3 linked regions of the Macaca mulatta genome follow. The protein of the gene in region 1 interacts with the protein of each later gene in a pairwise test. Links are inferred from orthologs where the notes say so. Each region holds a gene or a part of one and is shown on either strand. Other genes may lie near its edges.

Region 1 (3,650 bases):
AGAGAGACCTATGGAAGGTCTTATTAAGGATTGGGCTGATCCAGAGGTTGTAACCCTTGGCCATGTGTCTTATAAGTAGCTAGTAAATCATTATGGTATGTTGGTGATCTGAGGCTATTGAGCCTTTCCTTCAAGGAGTGGTCCCATTTGTTAGGACTACCCAGAGCAGAGACTGTTTCTTCAGGATGTCTTCTAATATGGGATTTGATCTAGGCCAGAATCTTGTTATTTTGAGTCAACTGTGGACAGAAATGTGTATTCAGTGGGGAAAGTTGCTAATCTATCTGGAAAAGTTTCTAGATCTAGCATATGATTAATTCAACTTGTTGAACAAAAATGTATTGCGTACGTGCTAGGCACTGAGTTTCAAAGCTGAGTGAAACCCCAGTCTTAGTTCACGAGGAGATTGCAGTCCAGGGAAAGGAGACATATTGAAACATAACTGTTTGCTTCATTAATTGTTCTTGGGGTAGGAAGCAAGGGAAGGCTTCACGGAGAGGTAACACCTGATCTGAGATTGGAAGAATGAGTAGAAATTTGCTAGTGTTTGGAAATGTCATTCTAGGCAGAGTATATGACTTGTATAAATGTGTAGCAGCATGAGATCACTGCACTTTAGAGGAACCACAAATATCTCTGTTGGGGCTGCGATGGGTATGTGATGGGTATGAAGAGTGATATGAGGTAAGACTGGAGCCTTGTCTCCAGATGGTATAAAAGGAATTGTACGAAAACAGTGAAGCACTGAGGAGTTGTAAACAGGAGGAAGATAATGTGTAAATATTCTGGCAGTGGGGTGGAGAAATTATAGGGGAATTGCAGACTTGTATTTGGGATGGAGTTAGGGGGCTCAGAAAGCCCTAGTGATAAGGATGCCTGTTAGTGACCCTTTGCTGAGGTCTTGGACTTGAACTAAGGTAGTGCTAATGGGGATAGTAAGATTGAGATCTGATGAACACTTAGGAAGTAGAATGGGTAGGATTTTATGAAAAATTGAATTTGGAGAATAGGAGTCATGAATTCAAGACCCCATTCAGGTCTCTGCCTTGAGTTACTGAGGATGGTGATGTGGTTCACTAAGAAAGGAAGGAGGGGTGCATGCGGATGTTCAGGGGTGATGCTGAGTTCAGGTAAAGTGTTGATCATCACGCGGAGCGAATTTCTGATTTGATGTATATGCTACATATCACCTGGCCTAGTGCCTGTAAGTTATATCATGCCAACTAATCTGTCCTAGCAGTAATAGTAAGTTTTACACATTCAAAAAAAGGGTGCCAAAAATTGACAACCTTAGTTATCCAGGTTATACTCCTACATTTTCTGTATCTTCTTGAGATCTGTTCTTACAGAAATTGTGCAAGTTATTATTTATGGTCGGTTATGACATAACTTGATTGGCTTTTGAATTTTATAAAAATACTAGTACAATTTAAAAAATATTCCGTATGGGTGGCCTCATGCAGAAGTTGGCACAGTTCCTCAGGAAATGCAGTAAGTTGAAAAGGAGCATCTTGTCTCATACTAATTCTGGATTTGCTGCCATTCCTCTCTGGGAAGTACCTTCAGAGACTTTACCACCTGCAGGGAGAAGTGGTGTCACACAGAAGTCCCATTTCTGTGACTCGACGTGTTGCCACTTTGCTTGGTCACCCATCTTTTTCTTCAGACGTAGCTCCAAATCACTTTTGCTTCTTTTTCAAAGCCAAGTACACTCTCGAAGGATGATGACATTGCTGTACTTGAGGAGATCTTAAAAAATGTGGTATAGAAGTGTTAAAAAGTATTAAAAATAAACTTTAAAAATATTCAGGGGCAGCATCATGGGAGTGATGCTCTTTCCAGGGATCCATTTTGAAGCACTTTTTTGTATGTGTACAAAATTTGATATGTAAATTAAAATTTGATGTGTAAATTTAAATGTTATAATTTTATAGTGTACTTTGTAATAATTCCTTTAAATAAACATTTCACGTGCCACTAACATTTGATTTTGACTAATAAACAGTAGGATGTGTAACTTCTTGTTACTGATCTTTTAAGGATTCAGTTATTCTAAATCCTTTGTTAATTTTAATCAGAATTGCATGTAAATGTTTTAGGAACAACTGGAAACTTCCAGGAGGGAAATGATTGGGCTTCAGGAAAGAGATAGACAGTTACAATGTAAGAACAGGAATTTGCATCAGCTACTAAAGAATGAGAAAGATGAGGTGAGTTGTCAGTTACTGCTGATGAAGTTTAAGTGAATTTTTGTTTTCTTTGTAGTATGAGATGACCATAAGAGCCACTTTACTTGAAAAAAGAAAGAACCATTTATTCATCTTTCCCCGAATTGGTATGGTAGACCTTTGTGTATAGTATTTAACTGGAAGGTCAGGAACCCTCTCCACCACAGCCCCCGCCACCAGTGGATCCATTTGGCTTAGATATTAGTTCATAGCTGGTAACAGCCAGTGTCCTGGACTGGCCTTCCTGGACTCATGTTCACTGTCACTTTTTCTGAGGCACAAGAGTGCTTTAAATGCAGATCTTTTATTCTCTGCTGTACCTGTACGTGATAGCCGAGGTGCCCCTTCTTGCATGCACTGTCTTAAATACTGACATTGTTCATCTAGTCAAGCAGTTTCTTCATTAAATGGGCACAGAAGCAGTTCACATTAAAAATCTAATTTCTAACACAAAAGATACAATTCTAATTTCTGCTTTAGTGGTTACTTAGCAGAATTCTAATTTCTACTTTAGTGGTTACTTGGACCTATAGCTCGAATGCATTTCAAAATATTCTTTTTTCATTTTTGTAGGAAGAAACCATTATGTTTTTATTGCTCTAAAGTATGACCTCTGACCATTTAATAACTATAAAAATATAATAGTTTCAGTGTTTTATGTTGTTTGAACTATAATTAAAGACTTCTGAGGAGTGTATTTCTTTAAAGAACGCTGGAGTGGTTTAGATAGATTTGTTTTACCATATTTGTTTATTTAGTAGTATATTTAATAAGTAGGTAATTAGTATTTAAACTGTAAGGTTGCTTATACATGTTTCCTTGAGTTCACAGACAATTCTGACTAGATCTGTTGATTACATTTAAACGGTTTGAATACAGTTCATCTTCAGTAGGGATTAAGTTAATCATGTTAATCCCTAGCAGGGATTGGGAATGGCTTTATAAAAGAATAGGACATACTCTATCAGGGGCTGCCTGAGAAACTGTAATTGATCTGAACTTTGAACAGCAGTGTCTGGCACGTAATACATACTCAGCAAATATTTGGACTGGATTATTCTGCTGTTTGGACTTACTCTTATTTGAGAATTGTTTTTAATTAGAAAAATGAGCCTGCTTACCTGCTGCCATGTGCCACAGGCTTAATTCACTTTGTCACAGATTAACAAAAAGTATAAGTGATTTTTAAGTCAGTAATACAAGGAGTTCACTTAAAATGATCAGATGAATTCAGTTTATCTCAGATGAAGCTTTAATCATTTTAATACTTCCATAAGAATATCTGGTTTTTAAATGTTCAGAGTCTATATGTAAGGTAAAAGGTACAGGAGATAATTCAGAAAATTAGCACTTCTAGAAATTTCAGAATTAAGCTTTATATGATTCATATAATATTTTAAAAAGTGGTTTCTACTGGTTACA
Region 2 (3,650 bases), on another chromosome or scaffold:
AGTCAAAAACAAGATGCCCTCAAGGAGCTTAGAGACTAGCTGAGAACCAAAAATTGCATTACAGCATGATGTAACAGAGTGTTACAGAGGAAGAAGCAGTTGGTTATGCCAAGCTTTTGGAGGGATGCAGGCCAGAATTTTCCACTGAAGTGTTACATCTGAGTTCAGTCTTGGAGGAGGTATAAGTAGTGGTCTTCTAGCCAGCAGCAACCATGTATGCAAAGGCAAGATGGCATGAGAAATAATATCGTGTGTGAGGAACTTCACAGGACTGGATATGAATGCAGAATGGAGACTGGGGTAGCCAGTGGTGAGGAGTAAGACTGAAAAGATAGATGCCAGTCTCAAAGGGCTTGTAATCTAGGCTTGACTTTGTAGCAGTAAGGAATTATCAAAAAGTTTCAAGCAGGAGAATGACATGATCAGATCTATGCTTCAGAACTGTGACTCTGGAAATTGTGGGGAGAATTTAATAGAGGTTTGTCACAAGGAGCCTCTGCCATCTCAGGTTCCTTCTCTGTAAAATGAAGAAGTCAAAGTAGATAAGGTATGGGCATCTCCCAGCTCTGTTCCAAATAAAAGTGATAATTCTTACAAGCCCTGTCCAGCTCCTCTCTTCTGATTATACCCTGATCTTAGAAATGTAACTCTTCGCTGGGCGCAGTGACTCACGCCTGTAATCTCAGCACTTTGGGAGGCGGAGGCAGGCAGATCATGAGGTCAGGAGATTGAGACCATCCTGGGTAACATGGTGAAACCCCATCTCTACTAAAAATACAAAAAATTAGCTGGGCACGGTGGCACATGCCTGTAGTCCCAGCTACTCGGGAGGCTGAGACAGGAGAATCAACCCGGGTGGCAGAGGTTGCAGTGAGCTAAGATCAGGCCACTGCACCCCAGCCGGGGCAACAGAGTGAGATTCTGTCTCAGACAAAAAAAAAGAAAAGAAAATATGTAACTCTTAATTTTTATATTTGGTCACATACAACTGAAAGTATAACATAGTTATTCTTCTCATTTAGATCTGTGTCAGAAAAGAACTCCTATCACCCTGTCTCATTAATGACATCATTTTCAGAGCCTGATTTAGGCCAGTCTTCCTCCTTGTATGTGTCCTCCTCTGAAGAAGAGTTACCCAACCTAGAAAAAGAGTATGCTAGGGAAAACAGAATGATGGCCTATGCTAAGGAGCTTATCAACAACATGTGGAAAGACTTTTGTGTTGAAGATTATATTCGCTGTAAAGATACTGGCTTCCACACAGCTGAGAAAACAAGGAAGAAACGAAAAGAATGGGTGCCCACGATTACAGTACCGGAGCCTTTTCAAATGATGATAAGAGAACAGAAGAAAAAAGAAGAGTCCATGAAATCTAAATCAGATATTGAAATGGTAGATAAACTGCTCAAAAAACAAGAAGAGGATCCAGAGTGTAAGAAGAAATTCCGAGCCAATCCAGTTCCTGCATCTGTCTTTCTCCCCCTTTACCATGATTTAGTCAAGCAAAAAGAAGAACGGAGAAGGTCTCTGAAGGAGAAAAATAAAGAAGCTCTTTTGGCCTCACAAAAGCCATTTAAATTTATAGCAAGGGAGGAACAGAAGCGAGCAGCCCAGGAAAAGCAGCTGAGAGACTTTTTTAAGTCTAAAAAGAAAACAAATCGATTTAAAGCCAGACCCATTCCTCGATCTACTTATGGTTCAACTACCAATGACAAGTTAAAAGAAGAAGAGCTCTATCGAAACCTTAGGACGCAGCTGAGAGCCCAGGAGCGTTTACAGAACTCATCTCCTCTGCCTTGTAGGTCAGCTTGGGGACGCAGGAACCCCACGTGTCCCGAACAGGCTGTAAAGTTGAAGTGTAAACACAAGGTTAGGTGCCGGACTCCTGATTTTGAGGACCTTCCTGAGAGATATCAGAAACACCTCTCAGAACACAAGTCTCCAAAACTCTTAACGGTGTGTAAACCATTTGATCTTCATGCATCTCCACATGCATCTATTAAAAGAGAAAAAATTTTGGCAGACATCGAAGCAGATGAAGAAAAGTTAAAAGAAACACGTTGGCCTTATTTGTCTCCAAGGCGTAAGTCTCCAGTAAGACGTGCAGGTGTAAAGCCTGTGCCTTGTAACTACAACCCTCCAGTGCCCACGGTGTCTTCCAGAGGACGAGAACAAGCTGTAAGGTAAGTAACTAAGACACAGTACTGACTGACTCAGGGTTACCAGATGAGTGTATGTAGCTCTGTGGAGTTTATGTTGGTGAATTTGAAAATATTTAGAAATTATTATTGTATCTATAAAATATTTTACTATATAATATATGACATTTTGTCAGAGAGTATTCTAAGAAATGAATGTATTTTTCATTTTATAAATTTTCGTGGATTAGAAAATATTAGTCTTAAGATTTCTAGTTTTACCTGGCCAGGTGCAGTGGCTCACACCTGTAATCCCAGTGCTTTGGGAGGCCGAGGTGGGTGGATCACAAGGTTAGGAGTTCAAGACCAGCCTGGCCAAGATAGTGAAACCCCATCTCTACTAAAAATACAAAAAATTAGCTGGGCATGTGGCAGGTGCCTGTAATCCCAGCTACTCAGGAGGCTGAGGCAGGAGAATCGCTTGAATCCAGGAGGCAGAGCTTGCAGTGAGCCAAGATCGCGCCGTGGCACTCCAGCCTCAGCGACAGAGCGAGACTCCGTCTCAAAAAATAAATAAATAAATAAATAAAAATTTCTAGTTTTACACGTCAGATCCTTTTCAAAGGGTTGCCTTTTTTCAAATTTTGAATTATCAAAATTCAAATTATCCCATGTTGAATCTTTGCTAAACAACATTCGCATTGGCTTAAAGTGGATTAAGCCTTAGTTTGTTACCCTCAGGAGATCACTTGAGGAAAAGAAAATGTTGGAAGAAGAGAGAAATCGGATCCTAACTAAACAGAAGCAAAGAATGAAAGAATTGCAGAAACTCCTGACAACCCGGGCTAAGGCTTATGACTCACATCAAAGTTTAGCTCAAATATCTAAATCCAGAGTAAAATGTCTCAGGTATCATAAAAAAATCTTGAACCTCCAGACCACTGGTTTTCAAACTTTCTTTTTTTTTTTAATCAGTAGATAGTAAAATATGAGCAGATTGAAAATGGCATTAGTGTTTTAGCTTATGGATTTAAATTGTCATCAGTTACTTATGTTCAGCACACACACACTCACCTCATGGTGAGAACCAACATATATACTCACTTTCATGGTAAGAACCATGAAGCTATGTTGAGGAATACAAACATTTTCTATTGTGGCCTTAGTTAATAGTTATAATCTTATACCAGTATCTAATCTTGTTCTTTATATTATTTTTGATTGCAGTAAACTGATATATCAAAGAGCTTTGTTCTAAGGTTTGGATGAAATCTGATAGCACAAATTAACACATTAAACATCCATTATGTGATGTGTTCATTAGCACATATGTTAATGTTTAGTAGTATGTGTTGCATTTTGTTAATTTCAATATAAAAATAAAAATATTCACGGAATCCTTAGAACCCCTTCACTAGAATTCTGCAGTACAAAGTTTGAAAACCAGTGTTCCAGATGTTGCACATAAAAATGTTGATGTTTAAGTAGGAAAATATCTCCCTCAAAGCCAGG
Region 3 (4,111 bases), on another chromosome or scaffold:
GGAGGATTGTTTGAGTCCAGGAGTTCGAGGCTGCAGTGAGCCGTATTCAAACCACTGCATTCCAGCCTGGGCAACAGAGCAAAACCTTGTCTCAAAAGATAAATAAATATCCATCTGGGGGTGTAATTTTAACAGTTTTACCTATAGAGGTGTGCAATGGAGAAAAAAATTTAGAGTCGTTGAACACAATGCTATTTTGCCCCTCAGAGAGTATCTGGCAGTCTCTGGAGACATTTTTTGTAGTCACAACAGGGAGAGTGAGGAGCCACTGGCATCTAGCAGGCAGTGGCCAGGGATGCTGTTAAATGTCCCCCAACACACAGGACAGTCCCCCACACAAAGAACCAGGCAGCCCAAAGTGTCAAGAGTGCTGGGCTTGAGAAGCCCTTGCCCGAAAGCCCCAGACTTAGTCTTGTTTTGGGGGCTCTGCACGGCTGCCTCAACTCCCCACTCTATTCGTCCCCGAGCTAAGACCTCCAATTTCAGTGACTGTACAAAGCATCCCCTCCTCCAATGAAGTAGCCATCTCTGTGTCCCCAGGCTGGGCCAGAGCCCCACCACCTAACGGCTCCCTGATGCGCCCTGTACTGGGTTAGAACTGTCCAGCCCACGGGGTTCTTAACCATTGCAGATTCCCTGGATCCCTGAGACAGCCGGATTCTACCGGGCAACGAGAGACCAAGAATCTGTGTTTTTCTCAAGCACCGCTCCCCGCAACCACACACACACTGCCTGCCCCTATCAAGGGCACACAGCAGGTGGCCCAGTGACTAGTTGAGTGCCTACTGCAAGCCAGGCGCTATTACGCGATCCACTCGGGAATCTTGGCACATACTCCACTCCATGGTGTAGAGACCAGGATCCTCCCCATTTCACAGAGGGGTAAACTGAGGTTCAGAGAGGTGACCCTAGCTAGGACAGAGACTCAGGGCAGGAAAAGCGCCCAGGTCCTCATGAGCGCCAGATTCCCGGGGAAGGAGGGAGGACAGAGAGGAGGGTGATGAACTGGGGGAGCGCGCGCTGGGTGGGGGGGCGCGGGGCCTCGCCGCGGCCTTCCGATGCGGCCCCGCCCCCACGAGGGACGTGAAGACGCGGACCCCGCGCAGCGTGGGGACATGTGACCGACTGCAGAGGCCGCGCCGCCTCCCCCGCCCGAGGTCTGCGCGCTCCGCCGCAGGGTGCAGACCCGGGGCGCCCGCCTGGGTTTGGGGCGCAAGAGCAGAGGCGGAGCCAGGGCGGAGCCAGCGCGCCCGGTCCCCCCTGAATCGAAAGCGAAACAGGGGCTGGGGAGGAAGGGCGGAGCCGGCCCCGAGGCACCGCCCCCTGCCCTGCGCGGCTGCTGGACCGACGGGCGCGCCCAGGTAGGGGGGCGGCTGAACCGCGCAGTGCGGACCCTCGCGGGGACCTGCGCCGCCGCCACCATGTCTCAGGAAGGTGTGGAGGTAAGAGATGGCTACGGCTGGGCCGGGGGCAGACGCGACAGACTCCGAGGAGCGGCCGAGAAGCGCGGAGGGGGCTTCGCAGTTCCTGGGGACCCCCATCCTAGAACCCCAGATCTTTACCCCTGCCTGGCGCTCACCCCCCTTGAAAAGGAAAGTGACTCCCACGTTTCCCCAGAGCGAAATGAGGCCTCTCCGAGGAAAAGCGGGGGCTGCAGGGTCAAAGGTCAGAGGCCAGAGATAACCTGGCCGCCCCCCCACCTTAGGCTGGGACGCTCGCCTCAGTCCGCGCCCTCCCCCAGCGCCATGTGGGGACTTTGGCTTTTTCCAGGAAATGCCGTAGAGGGATGAAAGGGGGGGCGGCGGAGGCCAAAACCAAGGGTCAAGTTCAGGCCGGGAGAACGGTGCCTAGAGATGGGGGAGGGACGATCGCGCTTCCCCTTCGCCCACCGGAACCCCCCTGTCCCCATCCCAGCTGGAGAAGAGCGTCCGGCGCCTCCGGGAGAAGTTTCATGGGAAGGTATCCTCCAAGAAGGCGGGGGCTCTGATGAGGAAATTCGGCAGCGACCACACGGGAGTTGGGCGCTCCATCGTGTACGGTGAGGCTGCTGGGGTCCCGGGCCTGGTGCGGAGACCGCGCGTGGGAGCGCCGAGGGGGCGTGGTCTAGGGAGAGGCGTTGAGATCACCTCCCCCGGAGGTCCCAGCCTCGGGGAGGCTCTGCATCGCGGCTCTGGGTGGCCTGGAACTCCCACAGACCCTTCAAGGGCCCTTCTCTTATACGCACTCTCCCCCGCAGGGGTAAAGCAAAAAGATGGCCAAGAACTAAGTAACGATCTGGATGCCCAGGTAACCTGTCCCCTCCCCTCGCAAAGGACCGGGTCACGGGAGGGACAGCAAGAGGGGGGACCCGACCGGTTCATGGTGACTGACACTTCTCTGAAACAGGAGGGACCAGGCATTGTCGGTCCGTAACTCATCACCCAATATCACTTTTTCACCTCTCTATCGTTTGTCCGGCCAGGGAGCCTGCAAACAGTAGGTGCTCATTATGCGCTGATTGTATTCAAAGGCGGACAGCCATGAAACTAGGCAATGAAAGGAGTCAGGATTATGGCCATCGTGGGGGGGCAGAGATCAGAGAAGACTTCCTGGAGGAGGAGGTACCAAGTCTTAAAGGATGGAGAGGAGTGAGCCCTGGGAGGGGAAAGGGAAAGAAAGGCAGGGGCCTTAGGGTGTGGGAGGGAATGGCATGAGCAAAGGCTGGGAGGTGGGGAAGGGTTGTTAGTGTCAGTCTCTAGAAAGGCTGGGATGAGCAGGGGATTGGGGAGGAGAGAGAGGGAGGGGAAGGGAACCCTTGTGTTGAATGAATGAATGAATGAATGAATGAATGAATGAATGAATGAATGGCTTTGAAGCACAGGTGCATCATGGCTACTTTGCTTCTTCGAAAGCTTTGGTGATGGGAACACTGTGGATTTCGCCTGCCTGAAAGGCTCAGTGTAGGGCTGTTACAGTATAATAGGCCTGGCGCCATGGCTCACGCCTGCGATCCCAACACTTTGGGAGGCTGAGGCGGGCGGATCACCTGAGGTCGGGAGATTAAGACCATCCTGGCTAACATGGTGAAACCCCATCTCTACTAAAAATACGAAACAACAACAACAACAACAATTAGCCAGGCGTAGTGGCAGGCGCCTGTAGTCCCAGCTACTCAGGAGGCTGAGGCAGGAGAATGGCGTAAACCCGGGAGGCAGAGCTTGCAGTGAGCCAAGATCGCGCCACTGCACTCCAGCCTGGGCAACAGAGCAAGACTCCGTCTCAAAAACAAAACAAAAAACAAAAAAACCCAGAGGATAGTAAAATATGTATCATAGTCTACATTTATACATATAAAAGTATGATAAAAATGATAGCAGAGGGGCCGGGTGCGGTGGCTCACGCCTGTAATCCCAGCACTTTGGGAGGTTGAGGCGGGCAGATCACTTGAGGTCAGGAGCTCGAGATTAGCCTGGCCAACATAGTGAAACCCCGTCTCTACTAAAAATACAAAAAATTAACTGGGCGTGGTGGTGCATGCTTGTAATCCCAGCTACTTGGGAGGCTGAGGCAGAAGAATCACTTGAACCTGGGAGGCGGAGGTTGCAGTCAGCCGAGATCACGCCATTGCACTCCAGCCTGGGCGACAAGAGTGAAACTCCATCTCAAAAATATAATAATAACAATAGCAGAGGGTAGCATTCATTGAGTATTTCCCATATGGCAAGACTCCAGGAATTGATTTATTTCATCGCCACAGTGACCCCAGGAGACAGGTCCTGTTATTTATCCCCATTTCACAGACAAACTGAGGATGAAGTCACTTGCTAGGTTCACGAAGCAAGCAGGTGGCAGCTGCGATTTGAACCCTGGCCACCTGGAGTCAGAGTCTGGGCTCTAACATGCCTGTCAGTGGGAACCCAGGAGGCAGGGAGTGGCTTGTCCAAGTCCCCACAGCTGGAAGTGATAGAGCTGGGATTCGAACCCACATCTCTCAGTCCAGATCCCCACCACTTAGCCAAGCACAACATGGCCTCAAAGGGGCGATATTGTCACAACACCAACAAGCATGTGGCATTTGCAGGCAGGAAGTGAGTACGGGGGTCAGGCTGGCCTCACAGGCAAGCCCTCCCCT

What was found.
Region 2: the proteins of SSX2IP (region 1) and FAM161A interact in binary tests that used the Homo sapiens proteins (3 or more experiments, as listed by UniProt). The two-hybrid records come from large-scale screens. The link is inferred for Macaca mulatta from reciprocal best matches to the Homo sapiens genes SSX2IP and FAM161A.
Region 3: the proteins of SSX2IP (region 1) and SHFL interact in binary tests that used the Homo sapiens proteins (3 or more experiments, as listed by UniProt). The two-hybrid records come from large-scale screens. The link is inferred for Macaca mulatta from reciprocal best matches to the Homo sapiens genes SSX2IP and SHFL.

The regions. Positions count from the first base shown.
Region 1 is NC_133406.1:155,900,028-155,903,677, forward strand, and holds part of SSX2IP (afadin- and alpha-actinin-binding protein), read left to right. Parts: intron 1-2,099; coding exon 2,100-2,210; intron 2,211-3,650. UniProt on the Homo sapiens protein: Belongs to an adhesion system, which plays a role in the organization of homotypic, interneuronal and heterotypic cell-cell adherens junctions (AJs).
Region 2 is NC_133418.1:62,896,738-62,900,387, forward strand, and holds part of FAM161A (protein FAM161A), read left to right. Parts: intron 1-1,022; coding exon 1,023-2,183; intron 2,184-2,879; coding exon 2,880-3,047; intron 3,048-3,650. UniProt on the Homo sapiens protein: Involved in ciliogenesis.
Region 3 is NC_133424.1:10,795,638-10,799,748, forward strand, and holds the start of SHFL (shiftless antiviral inhibitor of ribosomal frameshifting protein), read left to right. Parts: upstream 1-1,310; 5' UTR 1,311-1,421; coding exon 1,422-1,442; intron 1,443-1,914; coding exon 1,915-2,038; intron 2,039-2,236; coding exon 2,237-2,286; intron 2,287-2,461; coding exon of another isoform or gene 2,462-2,600; intron 2,601-4,111.